Linked DNA regions of Styela clava. The protein of the gene in region 2 interacts with the protein of the main gene of each other region in a biochemical or structural test. Links are inferred from orthologs where the notes say so. Each region holds a gene or a part of one and is shown on either strand. Other genes may lie near its edges.

Evidence for each region. The genes of interacting proteins can lie anywhere in the genome.
Region 1: of the proteins of serine-protein kinase ATM-like (region 2) and cyclic AMP-responsive element-binding protein 1-like, one has a biochemical effect on the other in vitro, tested with the Homo sapiens proteins (2 studies listed by BioGRID). The link is inferred for Styela clava from reciprocal best matches to the Homo sapiens genes ATM and CREB1.

Annotation. Positions count from the first base shown.
Region 1 is NC_135252.1:2,241,885-2,249,770, reverse strand, and holds cyclic AMP-responsive element-binding protein 1-like, read right to left. Parts: upstream 3,195-7,886; 5' UTR 3,065-3,194; coding exon 2,252-3,064; 3' UTR 574-2,251; downstream 1-573.
Region 2 is NC_135262.1:13,262,979-13,270,461, forward strand, and holds the start of serine-protein kinase ATM-like, read right to left. Parts: upstream 3,127-7,483; 5' UTR 2,209-3,126; coding exon 1-2,208. Other genes in the region: zinc finger protein 862-like, read left to right, coding at 3,957-6,299.

The DNA of each region.
Region 1 (7,886 bases), on a different chromosome or scaffold from region 2:
AGGTAAAAAGCACAAGTAAGCTATTGTGGCGTCCGTGGACTGCATAAAAGCCAAAACAAGAGTAAGATTTGGAGTGGCAGCTGGTTGTTAATAGCTTTTAAAAATTATTCAATTAGAATCATGATACTAAATTTTTAAGTCAGGATTGCTTCCACCGTCCACAAATAAAAAATATGCAACTGTCGTACTTATCAAGTAAATTGCAGGATGCATTTGGAGAAGAAACACAGATTATACTTTAACCAAGCGTGCTTAACTCAAATTATAAAAATAAGATTTTAGACAGGGTGCCAATGCAATCCATCAGCAAAAAATACCTATGTTCGTTATCCTATGGATGGCAACTGTATGATAAAAATATTGCAGACATCTGTTGTGTTGATTCAAATATGGATCAGGAAATTGGAAAGTCATATATGGCTATGAAATATTACACATGTTCCCAACAGAGGCATGAGATTGTGAATTGTGGCTTACGATTGAGGGTTATTGAAAAAAAAGACTACAAATTTGCATTTTGTACTACATTGGCTCTGCGTTCCCCAGTATCAGGATGAAATGTCGAGAGTAAAATAATTCAAAAGAAATAGGTATATTATTAAACGCAACAAAACAATACAGCCGAATACAAACACATTGATATCAAATTTAAATTCAAGGCAATCATAAATTCAAATTTACATAGATAAAGAGATCAACGAACTAACCATATCATACTTGAACAGTATGTGTGTCCAGCAACCTCCTTGATTGAATTGCTGTATTCTTATTACTGTCATTGCAGTGCATCTCAAATCCTGGAAGATGATAGTTTTTCAAGGCAGAAGATTAAATTCATGAACAGAAGTTTTAAACCGTAATTGATTGAATGCAGGCAGAAAAAACGATAGTTCTGAATGATTCAATTCCAGCATTTAAAATTTGCGCCAAAAATAGTTATTAAATAACTTTTTTTCTTTCTGCCACAGAAATTGGGATAAATGATATATTTTAAACATAAAGATTAGACTAAAATGAACATGCTGATGTACCGTTGTATAACATTAACTCTCTTAAGCAATTAGCGAAATTATAAAAATGGCGAAGTTTTTGGAATTGAGTTTGGCTATTGAAAATACTTGAAATATTGAAAAACTGAGTGAATAAGTCCCTAAATAAGCAGCTTTCAAGTGCTTTAGTCATCTTGTGTCATTGAATTGAATATTTTCCATCAATTTCTCTTGCAAATCAAAATTCAAATGAAATTAGATGAAAAAGCTAGAAATTTTTTTTGAAATGCAAAAATCTTAATTACTGGTACTTAAAAACAGAAGGTTTTGGTTACAAAATTAATTCTGGCCAATGCATGGCAGATATAAACTTGCAACAAAAATGCTAGTAACCCTGCAAAAATATAATTACAAGGAAAACAGGCAACAATAAAACTGCACTGCAAATAAAATAATCTATATGTACAATATGCAGTGAGAAAATGATAATAAGAATCACCAATTCAAATCACAACATATCACCATCTGCAACTTCAAACAAATATTTGGGATTACAGAATTCATAACCGATTAAATACCAGTTCGAAGTTTCGAAAAATAAAAGTTTCCGCATCTTACGGTATATAAATTTTTAAGATGATCATCTTCAAGTAGGAATCAAGACAGACACTAGGTGCACAAAAGTAGTTCAGTTTAAAATCTCAAGACCTTATAAAATAGCAATATATCCACTAAATTTTTTTCTTTCGTCTCAATTGATCTCGGAAGATACATTTTATAGATTTAAAATAAAAGCAGTCTTTCAAAAAATACAGATTTGTGAGAATAATTAGGAAGTACTACTAAAGTCCTAATGATACAATAACTTCACAAGTATATATTGACTTTTCCTTATTGTAAATCTGAAAGATATTGATACTATCAAGTCAAACCTTCCTTATACATATGTATTTTATAAAATTATTATCACAAAACAAGATTAGTTGAAGATACAATTGTATTATTATTTGATTTGTATTACATTAAATTTGTGTTAGGTTTCGATGCTACCAACTATATTATACTTCATTAAAATCGAAGTACTAAAACTGGTGAAGTTGAGGCTTCATTTAACATAGTTTGCAATTCCAAAAATGCGAGTGGGCATTTTCAATATAAACTCAGTCTGACAAATATTCAGCTGTTATTAACACTGCCAGTTATAGGCTTGAGCAAGCTATCGGACAAACAGGATGTCTAACATTCCTGTCCTGTATTTAAGATCACATGTCCTTTGCACAGTACATCTCTTTTAATGTCTTAAGTTCATCGATAAGTGCCTTATTTTGAGTTTCCAGTACCTGTACCCTGTTTTCCAGACACTTAATGTACTCCTTCTTTTTGCGTCGACAATCCCTTGCTGCTTCTCTATTCTTCATTAATCTTAGCTCTCGTTTTCGGGATGCTTCTTCTGCCATTTGCTGCGGCGTTTGCACTGTGTTGGACGGTGAATTACCAGATACAACAGAAAGCTGGCCACCACCTGTTGAGCGAATTTGGTATGCCTGAAGATCACCACCACTGCCTTGGACAACAACATGACTTCCAGGCACCCACAGCTGACCATCTTGCTGCACTATAGCCTGTCCCTGACTCAGAGCATTTGCCACAGAAAAAGTTTGCATGTCAGATTGGTCGCTTATGGAAGGTGTAGATATCTGTATCGTTTGTGGAGCCTGTTGAATAGTAACAGTGCCCGTACTCGTTTGGTATGCTATTGTCGGTGTATTGATTGAGATTGCACTCAAGTCAGACTCTGATTCAGATTCTTCAGAGGACTTATTTTCGCTTAGCACTTCCATTTTCACGGCGGGATTAATTCCACTAGGGCTATCACTTGACAGGTCACTCAATATTTTTCTATAAGAAGGACGCCTAGAAAGGATTTCCCGCTGTCTTTTAGCTGTGTCAGAATTAGCCTGGGTGTCTTCCGATGAAGTATTCCTGGCAGAATCAGTTCCGTTGTTCAGTTGATTAGGTGACTGAATAACAGATTGTTGATTAGATGTGATAACACTTTGTGTTCCGCTTTCCATTGCTGAGTTTATAGGTGAAAGAGAATCATATCGATAATAAAAGTTGTTCTTTCTACTGTTTATATTAGTATAACACAGTCTAATAAAATAACAAAACCTAAAGCAAAAACACAATCTCAAAGAAATTGACCAACCACTAAATTGTTATATTTATTAACATAGATATGCAAAGCGATTGAGTAGAATGGCCTCAATCATATTTTCGGCGTAAGCTATGTAGTTTCTGCTTATTATTAGTTTCAATATACTTACCTCTAGTCTGAAAACCGATTTACTTACTCACACCATCAGTTTGTCACCCAATGAAATCCATGTTCTACTAGACTCAAGCAGTAACATATTAGCATGGCACAGATGTTAAATTTGGAATTGATTGTGAGAATGTACCAGACGAAAACAACCAACATTGTTTCGACTAGTATTATTAAGTTAAATAATTTTTTGGGATAATTCTATTCTTCAGAATACCATTATTTTTTCAATTGACTTAACCTGATAATTGAACTGCCCTATTATCCAAATTGATAAAATTTTGGGCAATATTAAATAGCCTCCTTGAATAGAAACTAATATAACTTTGATAAAAGTATAACGGTAAATAGAATAGCATGTGGTATTGGATAAAATGACATTAAAACAATTGGATATTTTTCCTTATCATCTGTTGTCTAACTTAAACATATCTTACCGGTAATTACAGTTCAGTAATTTTCAAAGCATGGAATGATTATTGAGTGAAAACATGAAAAAATAGAAGTACTCAAAAAATGTCTCTTCAATACACGAGTTAATACAATTACATTATGAAATATGAAGGCTGTTAGTAGGACGAGGCAAGTCAAAAGTGCCCCTTTTCAGCTAGATTGTTCTGGTTTACTATGACAAGGTGTATAGAAGACCAGAAGTATTTCATTTTCGATGAGACCGGCTTCAATTGGTTCTGATATTTCTCTGGCCAATTCATGAACTCAACATATGAATGGTTAAAACATAAGTTTCATGATGTTATCTTTATATATATTTATTTCTACTTCATATCACAATGCCAAGAATACATGATATCAAAATGTGACAAATTTTGATCGATATGGGTAATAAAAAATTTGATCGAGATGATGGGATACTTACGGTACATGAATATACTTGAAGAATGGCTCAATATCATTCAAAGATAGAATAGCAATATTCACAAATTAACGATGTTATCGATTCCATTCATATACTCCCTTTACTTTCTTACTATTATCACACGTTAGATTGCATGAAATGTTGTTACAGTTTTGCCCTTTATTGCATGAACAGAGATATTCCAGAAATTTGGAAAACTATCTTAGTAGGGTTGTTTCTACAGTTAATACGATGATAATGAGGAGTAAAGAAAACATCTTCATAAAATTCTTTCTTCCTGTTTATGGGCAAAATCACAATTCACATATTCCAGGTAATCTAAGCAGTAAATTAATCTGAAACAACTGGGCGACATGTTATTTCATCTTGAAAATGAAATAAGTCTGAAACATTCCTTTAAATTTTCAATAATTCCTAAAATATTAACAACATGAATCCAACAAAATTATTTATCAGGAAACGTTCCCATTAAGATGCTAAAGACAATGTCATCATAATGTCAATACAAGAAAGTGGAAGTAAAAACACACTTTGCAAGTTATTTATTAATGACCATTTGTCATATCATCATTTCAACAAGAAAATATTAGCGCCCCTGTCAAGCTATGAATCAAAACAAAATTAAATTGTTATGGAAAACACATAACAGAGAAAACAAAGATAAATAGGTGACTAAACATAATTCTTTATTATTATATACCCCTAGCATTGTGCAATGATATTGTGTTACTATAATAAGTTGTCTTCATCAGTTCAGATAAATTGCAAATTCCAAATTTAAATCTCTAGCTATTTACAGAATTCGTTTGCTAGTTATGCATGCTATCCTATATTTGCAATACATGGAGAGACATTTTAGGGTCTCGAGTAGTTTTGTACCACGATAACTTCTGGTGGGCATGGCGTAACACTTTTTGCATATGTCATTCCTTACCCCCATGTGATTACGTCATCCGAAAATTACGCCACTGTGATGTAATAGGGCCCCCCAAAATATACAGATTGTCGTTCAAAACACACAGAGGATTATCTGAAGTTGAGCTAGCTATTTCTCTTGTTTTTTGTCGTAGTAATCCTGATATGAGAGAGAGCTGGCGTTAGTAAGCTCGAAATCAGGGGCACAGCTGCCATTTTGGGCTATCGTAGCTATACTTTGTCAAGCTCTATGATATGATTGTGACATGATTTTTGGTAGCATAGTTAGGTGGGAGTTAGTGGTTAGGAATAGCATACAGACATATCCAAAAACTGTTGAGCCAAGCCAACTAGAAGTACATGTGGTACGAAACTACACCAAACCCACAGTTTATAGGTATTCATTGTGAACGTAACCTAACCAAAACTTCCAGTTGTTGTTCTTGATATATGATGTTTTGTTATTTCATACTAAGAGAAGATACACAATGAGAAAAAAGAGCCAAGACCAATCTGTAAACTTTTTGGTATATTCGTATACGATTAAGTGGAAGGTTACAGTTCATCCAGGTCTGCAGGTGCAGTACAGCGATAGCAGGATAAACAACAGAAACATTTTCTTTTCACTTTTCAATACCGGTACCAAAATTTCGGTTTTGTAAGGTCTCTAACGATTTATGCAATCTGTCATCCCTGGATCACTATCACCAGATCACAGACCAGGATGTTACAATATTATAAATTATCGTAAAACGTTAATTTACCTTATTAACTTCCTGATTTTATATGTATCAGTGTATCGGTAAGCTGTCTCTATACCTTTCATTTATAGACTACAATATTATCAGGCCATTTGCAGATTTCAGTATTTCTCCTTTTCCAACCATGGTTAGTATTCATGAATTCCGTTGCTGCAGTATTGTCTGGCTTATGGCCGGAACGTGGGGTGACCCAAATATTGTGTCCTTCAACTTTCATTTCATAATTTATCCTCCTTATTTGTTGCTAAAATGTCTTCAAGTGTTTTAATAATTTGGCATCGCCCAAATTCAAGCTAAAATCAAAACGAAAATGCGGGAAACGGATTCAATACAACAGCACATGCCCAAAAATCTTTTCATCATTCCCGGGTCTAAGTGACGTCAGCTTGTAAATAACTACGTATCAACTTACTTTAATACATATCACGAAAATATTCTACATTTTTCCTGCTTTGTTTTTAACTATTTCAACACCAAACTATTTTTACAAGTACTAGCGTAATATGACGCAATTTTCGTCATTAGTTAAGCCGAACTGTGACGTTTTCCCCTGTTATGACATCAAAGATGGCTGCTGCGTAGACAATGACGAAGAAGTGTTGATGACTCATCGAGCACGGAACCACATATTTCTAGAAATATCTCTAAATTCTAAAATCACTTCAGCAATTTTTTTATATTGGGTTCGAAAAAAAACTTAATTTTATAGAGGGACTTATAATATAGTTTATTCATTGACAGATCCCTGTATATTTCAGACAAAAAGAGATATTAAATCGGTCAATGATGTAGAGGTAAATATCCGGTTCCATGATAACGTTTTATAACCAATGATATTGTTTTACCAAAAATCTGATTTGTTTCGATGATCAACCCGTGCTTCTGATTTTATTGCACTAGTATGTGTATAGTAGAATATAACACATCCATTGTTTGGATGTGCAAAATCCATCTTGTTCTGTTTTAACTTACATTCATTCATAAGTATACAAGTTACCCAAATAATTGATATCTTTCCCTGCGCTCCCATCTATTTCGTTTCGATTATTGGACACGGTAATGGACACAACGATCGTTTCAATATTATGCTGTTGTTGTTCTTTGACACTTTTTGGACACCTAATGGAAAATCTAAAAGGTCGCTTTTCTCTTTGATTACTGGACCAATTGCTTTGAAATTTTTAGTGGTTAAAGATGAAATTTTTCGTCAGAAGGCTATCACTTTTATATATTTCAAATATCTCTGTTGGCTTTGTGAGATTTGTTTTTGTTTGCTATGATGTCACCGACCGTTCTGCGGACGCTTCTGTTCTTCTGATCACGTGCCATCGAACGTCGATGTTTCGTATTGGAATCCTTGATTTGCTAAGATTTGAGGAATGGTGAATGGCGAATAGTGCCGTACTTGGTGTTATATAACAGTAGTGACTCGGATCGTTGGTGTTACTACGGTTGTGAGTCGGACCATCTTGCAATTTCAATTCACGCTGTCACAAGATACGAACTTCTGTAGATAGGGCAGTTCCGGTACCGTAGGCATAACACAATGGGTGACACTGAACTAACTCGTAGCTGTCTGGTAAAAGCGGGGCTTGTTTTTTAAATTTTGTTCCAATAATGGAGAAGGAAATGAAACGGATTACTCAATATTTCAATTCATGTTGCAATTGAATGGAGAAGAGAAGATCATTGTCACGAGACATGTGAAATGGGAGGCAGGCAACTCGACTACACACGAACAACTCACCAGAGACAACTCGACTACATATAGACCTGGTGAGTTGTCTGTGCAGTGAGTAGTCGAATTGCCCATCAGCCCTAAACGGCTATGACAGTCAGTGTACCAAAATTTGTAACCCGATTCAGGTGGTATTTATTGAGTTGACGCATGTTATCTAGTAACGTTTTTATGTGAGATGTTGACTGTGGTTCGGTACTTGATCCGGTAATACGGTAGGCTACATAGTTGACTCATATCATGAGATATTTCAATTGATGTTTCAATATAATCAAGAAGA
Region 2 (7,483 bases):
TGATCTATTAGCTGGCGCTTGAGATGGATCAACTTCTTTTGCATTTCTGGTATCATCAGAAAAATATTTGTAAACCGCAACAAATTCAGGATTATGAAACTTAACAAAAGAATCATTGACTGTATCAGAGGAGATTGAATCCACATACTTGATTACATGACATCCATTACAGATTATACTTTTTTGACAAAGGCCCAATAATAGTTGGGCTATTTCAGCGGTGTCAATTTTATCTGTTTCCGATTTGCATGTAACTATGTTTAAAGTGGGCATTAATTTCGGAGAATCTTGAAGAGGCGTCTGACTGTAATTTTCAGATTTTGTAAAACTTTGTTGACGAGAAGAACTGTCAGAATCTTCTTCTTTATATCCCAAAATCCAAAGTAATAATAATACGCAAAGTGGGTCGCATTGTGACATCACACGGTAAGGTTCACAGTTCATAAAAGTGGGATTGACAGTCAACATTTGCAAGAGTGTGCAGAAGAAATTATTATCATCCTGGGTAGAATTAAGACCATAGGTATCAATAAAAGCTTTGACAAATTTCAAACTATGATCATTTGGTTCAATGTGTAAGTATATAGAAGACCAAAGGCTTTGTGTGTTCTTTACACATCTTGTTGCAATAAAAAAATTTGCTTTACATTTTCCATCTAATCGTACAAGAGTTGTGAGAAGATCTAGAACAGTGTTATTGATTACTGATTTTGTTGCTTGTGATAAAAAGGTGGTGGCGACATTCCAACAATCTTTCCATATAATGGCTAACTCAGAATCAAAGGATTTTAAGACCTTTGGAATGTGACATGATACAGTCTTGAATACAATACTCAAACACTTTAAACAATAAATTCCAATAATGTTGAGATTTACTTTTGTAATGAGATGCTGGAATTGAGCAGCAATTTTTAAAGCAACAGTGACATTCAAGAACTCCTCATTTCCTTGCAGTAGACAGGAAAGAATTTCCATCCAATACTGTTCAGCATTTGTTACCTTTTTGTCTTTGTCAAACGAAAATATTATTGAAAATGAACTTTTATCATCAAAATTAATCTTGTTCAACAGAAGGTCACCAACTTGATTGGGTGTTGATTTTTGACCTTTGAATTTCTGATTCAAATGAAGGTCAAACAGGACAGAACATGCTGATGCAGCAAGTTGAATACATCCCTTGTTAAATACCACAGTTCTATCTGTTTTCAATCTATATGAAAGAGAACATGATTGTTTTGAAAGCTGCATTTCTGTTCCTAATAAAATAGAAAACAGCTGTGTGTGCCATGTCGCATAATCTTTCGCGTATGCACAAGAAGAAGGGTCTATGCTTCCCCTAGGATGATGCAACGTAATCTGTCGAGAACAAAATTCAATCACTTGACCTAATGTGGACTCTGGTAAAAGATTTCCGATCCATATACATATAATAGTATCGATGCAATCTTCACCAAGTTGGCAACACGATATTCGGTAAGAAACTGCATACCATTTTATATATAAATTCACAGCTGTAAGGACATTCTCCCATATTGTAGGTGTCTTTACATTAGTTAAACCTTTTATCACATTAACAAAAATTGAATGTAGATTGTGATAACTACTAGGGACTGATTGAAGAACTAAAGCATGTGTTAAAGATCGTAACAAAACAGATGACGCAAACTTCGTTTCATTTCCTTCTTGCGTCAACTCGAGCATGCAAATCTTAAAAAGATTGTCATAAACTTCTTTCGTTAAATCACAGATGTATTTTTTTTCAGCCAGAATTTCTTTATCTATTAAAGATAATATCATCACACCGTAATTTAATCGAAACAAATTTGAATGTAAACAATTGATAAGAAAATTTAAAAAACCTGTTACTTTAATTCGAACCAAGTCAACATTTGCAATTTGTAGAATTCTTTTTGTTAAGATAAGTACATCTTGCACTTTTTTAATTTTATTGTTTCTTGTCGAAAGAGCCCAAGATTCATATTGTTTGGACAATGTCCCAGATTCTTTTTCCAAATAATTATAAACAGTTTTGAATACTTGATTCCATTTCCATCCTTTTTTGAAATCTGTTGATTCATTCAATCTGCTCACAAGTTCTGAATCTTCAATAAAAAGTTTAATCCCATTCAAACCTTTGTTTTGATCAGTTATTTTTGATGAATCCAGTAAAGAGCAATTATTGAAGAGTTCAGTCAACTTTCCACTCATATTTTTGTATTTTCACATGATACTGATACATATGTCTGTATGTAAATAACTGCAAATTCACAATTTAAAAAACAATAAAACAACTTAAATGAGTGAATGTGAAACAATGAAAAATGCAACATTTAAATATTCATAATACTGTAAGTACACAAGTATGTAAGATTAACTGTGAAGCGATACGTTGAATGTCTGAACTCCCTAGTATTAAAATTCCCTTTGTAATATTAATTTCTTACAGGTCTCAGAGTTTACTCAAAATAACTCATCCTGTCATCGGTACTGAAGAATATTGCAATAATCGACGCTACATACAGACATATCAAAATTTAAAAACTGAGCTCACGGTACTGGGTTTGTGGAATATCCGAGTCACCCGACTATGTAACTTTACTCGTATCACCGGTACAGTATTGAATAAGTTCATTTGAGAGAGAGTTTATTTCATTTTGTCAAACCGAGAAAACAATTTATGCACACATGAACAAATATCAAAAAAATAGTTTTCGATATATGACTGGGGGCAACGATACAACCTTTGGGGGTCATCAGGGTCAGTTGCCACCCAATTATATTAAATAAGCATAAAAATAACAGGTTCGTGTCAATATATCAATGTCTCTCACGATTTATACTATGTACAATATTTACATGAATTTACTATTTTCAATTATGGAAGCATTCTTTTAAATAATGGGATTTTGCACAAATTGAAATTATATTGCAAAATATAAAATGATCGAAACGAAAAAGAAGTGGGAAAGCAGGTCAGACAAGCTACCCCTTATTTGGGTAACTTGTTTTATTGAATGAATTTAAGTTAAACATATCAAGTGTGATTTTGAACAAGCAAATATGGGTAGAGTTCTATTCTACACACACTAGTGCAATGTAATCAGGAGCATGGGTTGAGCGGTCTTACTACTTACTGAATACAGCGCGAAACATTGCAAAGAGCGCAAAACAGCGCGAAACAGCGGAAAACAGAGGGAAACAGCGCAAGACAGAGGGAAACAGTGTGAAGCAGAAAAAAATTTTGCAATGAGTTCGGGGCACCTTGTTTTGAGTTGGAGTACCACGGCAGCAAATTGAAAACACAAAGCAGCCCCTGCTGGTGACACATTTTGGGTACCATAATTTAGAACATTTTCCATATGGATATGGTTGGCTTTGGGGTTAGGGTTAGATAAAAAGGAACCTCCAGAAGTATGTGCACCAAGATGGCGCACAACCTGCAGGCTTGCAAATCTACGCGAGTACGCGAGTCATACTCTAGTCTAGACTCGCGTATTTTGCCCTACCCGAGTCTAGCTATTACTCCCGTAAAAAACGTCATTACTCGCGTCCAGCAGTACACGAGAGTCCGAGGCGATTTTTTCCGCCGCCTCTCTCTCTTTATTCTTTAGTGACGTAAAATCGTTTGCGGGCGATGGTTTATGATGTCACAATAGTACATTACAGCGAAAAGCGAGGAATCAAGCACGGGCATGCCTCCAGACGACTTGGCGTTGGCGAATGCAGAATGTTCCCTTGTAATAAGGCAGACTGCGAATGCGTATTATGAATTTAATAGAAGTGTTGCAGACTAACAAAGATGAGATGTCGGTGAGACTAGGGCTAGTGTAATTAATTAGTTATATTAACGGCTGTTTTGTTGTAAATTACCGGTAAAAGGGTATTTTTGCGTAACACCGTTTTTTGTTTGTTTAAAAATACCACAGGAGATATTATAAATTGTATGATTAGAGTAAATGGAGGAAAAATCAAGGTCCGTCTCTGTAGCGGCCTGGAAGTTTTGGCCAAACAGATTAAAGGACAGTTTTACGTTCGGTTTCAACGAAGATAATACCAAAGTCGTACATGCAGCATGCATTGTATGCAAAAAACATTGTGACAGAATACAGCGCGGCTATGGAGGCAAAGTTGTTAATGATGTGACGACTTACGGGGAGAATGGCACCATATGGATTTTAAGATATAATTTAGAACGACACCTCAATTCCGAGGGCCACTTAAAGTGTGTCGAAATTGAGAATGGGAAGCTCCCGACGCAAACAAGTATCGCTCGCTTATGGGGCTGCCAAAAACAGAGGGCGGAGAACGCCATAAAACCTCTTGTTCGTACTGCACTGTATGTCTCTAGAAAGGAACTGCCTTTCAATGCGTTTGCGGACTTATTACAACTGTGCGCAGACAATGGCGGCAAAATAACCACGTCATATGGTAACAGAGAAGGTTGTAAAGCCTTTATACATATTCTCGCGGAGGAGATATTGTCCTCAATAAGAAATGAAGTGCACAAAAAAGTAAATTTTTTTAGCTGGATGGTGGATGGGTCAACAGTCGTCAAGCGCAAGTTATCGTACGAGTCGGAACTAATTTACATAAGAATAGCGCACGAATGCAAACCAGCTGTACACGAAATTGACTTGATTTCAATGAAGGAATATGTTCGAGTGGACGCTAACAATTTGTACCACGCTACATTGCGCTCTCTGTTGAGTTTCCTGATTCCCGATATAACAACAAATTGTGAGACACCCATTGAAAATCTTGTGGAACTTATTAAGCCTTTTTCTTCAAAAATTATCGGGGCCGGCGCCGATGGCGCTGCTGTTAACTTTGGGCGTAAAACGGGTTTACTTAAAAAATGGGAGGACGTGTGCCCTGGTCGGCTAATCAAAGTACATTGCTATTCACATCGAATTGAACTAGCATCGAAAGACGCATTGACCCCCCATTTCAAACAAGTTATTGACTTCCTTATTGACATATATTATCATTTTCGGAATAGCCCTAAAGAATGGGCCGCCGTATGTAATGCGGCAGAAAAGTTGCAGACCGCGGTTGTTAGTGTACCAAAGTCGCAAGGCACAAGATTTGTGGCACACACACTCAACGCACTCCATGCGCTAAAAACAAATTGGATTGTTTACATACATCATTTCACTAACCAGAGGGAGGCTGAGTCAGATATGAAGGCTGAGAAATTTCTTGTTAATCTTCACAGCTTCAAGTTCTATATCCTATGTCGCCAATACGAGGATATCGTAAATTGGGTATCTGCCACGTCAATCGCAATACAATCAGATCATGACGGGTCATCCATTATTGACGCTATCAAGCAGATAAAACGGTTGAAAATGAAATTAACTTCTATGGAACTTCGCGGCGGTCCTGCAGAGCGAGAAGCGCTCGATGCTTATGACAGGGGCGACCTAAATTGCACTCCGCTTCCGTTCCGTTTTACCAGACACGAAGATGGTGGACAAACGAAGGCAATACGCATTACTTGTAAAAGGCGTGAAACACCGACCGCCAGACTCCTGGAACACGAGGAAAGCGTGGTTTTTCATTCTGCAGAGGAAACCATCATCCAGAGATCCCAAACAACAAGATCGCAATGCATAAGAAATCTGCGTGATTGCCTGGACGAGCGATTTACAGAAATAGAAGAACAAGAAAACATTTTGAGTAAGTTATCATGGCTGAACCCTGAAATCTTGATGTCGGATGGCGGGATTAATGCGTCCGTCCCTGAATATGGCAATCAAGATCTTTCACAAGTCTTTGAGTACTTCAAAGTACCTCTACACGCAGCTGGGTGCGAGAAGGGTGCATGCTTGAAAGAATGGGATGATTTGAAGTATGACGTCCAGGGAAATGAGGTTTACAAAGATTTGAGCACTACCGACTTTTGGCACAAGTTGCACCAGCGAAAGAAGGAGGCGTATAAAAATTTGTTGATCGTTGTCGAGTTAGTGCTTTGCTTACCATTCTCAAATGCTGTTGTCGAAAGAGGGTTCAGTTGTTTACGGCGAATTCTCACTGATTGGCGATCACATCTCGGACACAATATGATAAAAGATCTTCTATTAATTGCCACGCGAAAAGAACAGTTCGAAGACGGGGCCATTCGAGAAAATCTGGTCAACAAGGCTTCCGCCCGATTTATGGGAAGCGATGGGACGTCTGAACGAGGTCTCGTGAAACGACGTATAAATTCAATTTTAGGGGGGTTGGAAACGGCAAAGCCCAGCTTGGTACAGCCTCAACTAATAAACATCGACGATAGCTCGTCGGAAGAAGACTAAAACTGTGATATGTGAACCTGAAAGCGTCACACGCATTTCTTTGTTCGTCGACACAATTTCTAACCTTTCTTTTTATACATTTTAAATGATGCGAAGTCGACGGGCGGCGATTAGCGTTTAATATTCAATTTCGTTCTTTCTGTGCGATGTTTATTTTGCATGAACTCATCTGCTACATGCGAACTTATTTTATAGATTTCAGTTTGTACGGCAAATGTCAGACTGCACGAATGGTTTTGTTTATTAAAAAAAAAAAAACAGGCGATGGCAACGGCGACTGCCGTTTATTAAAGTTCCTCCCTTTATTTTGCAAAACTTGAGTTATTATTTTCTTTGTAGGGTAACTTGTTGAGAGTTATTCACATGGTTGATTACCCCGATATATAATTAGGTCATTTACGTCGTGCGGGGAAAACGGCGTCGCAGAGCACGCAGCTATCTTGATTAGTATTTAATGAGACGCTCGCAAGTAGCAATATCGCAGAACGAGGGTACCGACGGAGTAGTGTTTATCGAGCGAAAGTAGGTGTGTAGATAGTGTGTGCGTAGATATAATTAGACACATTGACTCGTGCCTGACTCGCGTAACATTTTCCTGGGACGGGAGTATATGTGACGTCACTATGACGTCATTGAATCTTTCGAATTCCGTTAGGAGGTCGACGAGAGTATGCCTAGACTCTCGCTTTCGGGCGCGGATTTGCAAGCCTGACCTGAAAATAGTATGTGTGTGTGTGTAGCGGATTCAGGTTGTGCGACATATTGCTGCACATACTTCTGGAGCACCAAAAATGTAGATAAAATTTCGCATGATGACCTATAATCCGGTACATAACCTTGTAAATATGCCGGAAATAGCGCCATAAAACCATGGCGAGAGGCGCCGTGGTTCTTTCGTGGCAGGAGGTGGTAATGACTGCGTCTCCTGTTTTGCGCTGTTTTCCTCTCTTTTGCGCTGTTTCGCGCTATTTTGCGCTCTTTGCGGTGTTTCGCGCTGTATTCAGTAAGTAGTAAGACCCTGGGTTGAGTCATCAAAACAAATTAGAATTTGGTTTAAACAACAAAAAAATGCATTCCAAAAATGCAATACATGCAAATGTATTTGCAAATGTAGAAAGTCAGGAAATGTCAGAATGTTAATAGTAGAAAATAATACAACCTTGCACATGTGAATTTATCAATGA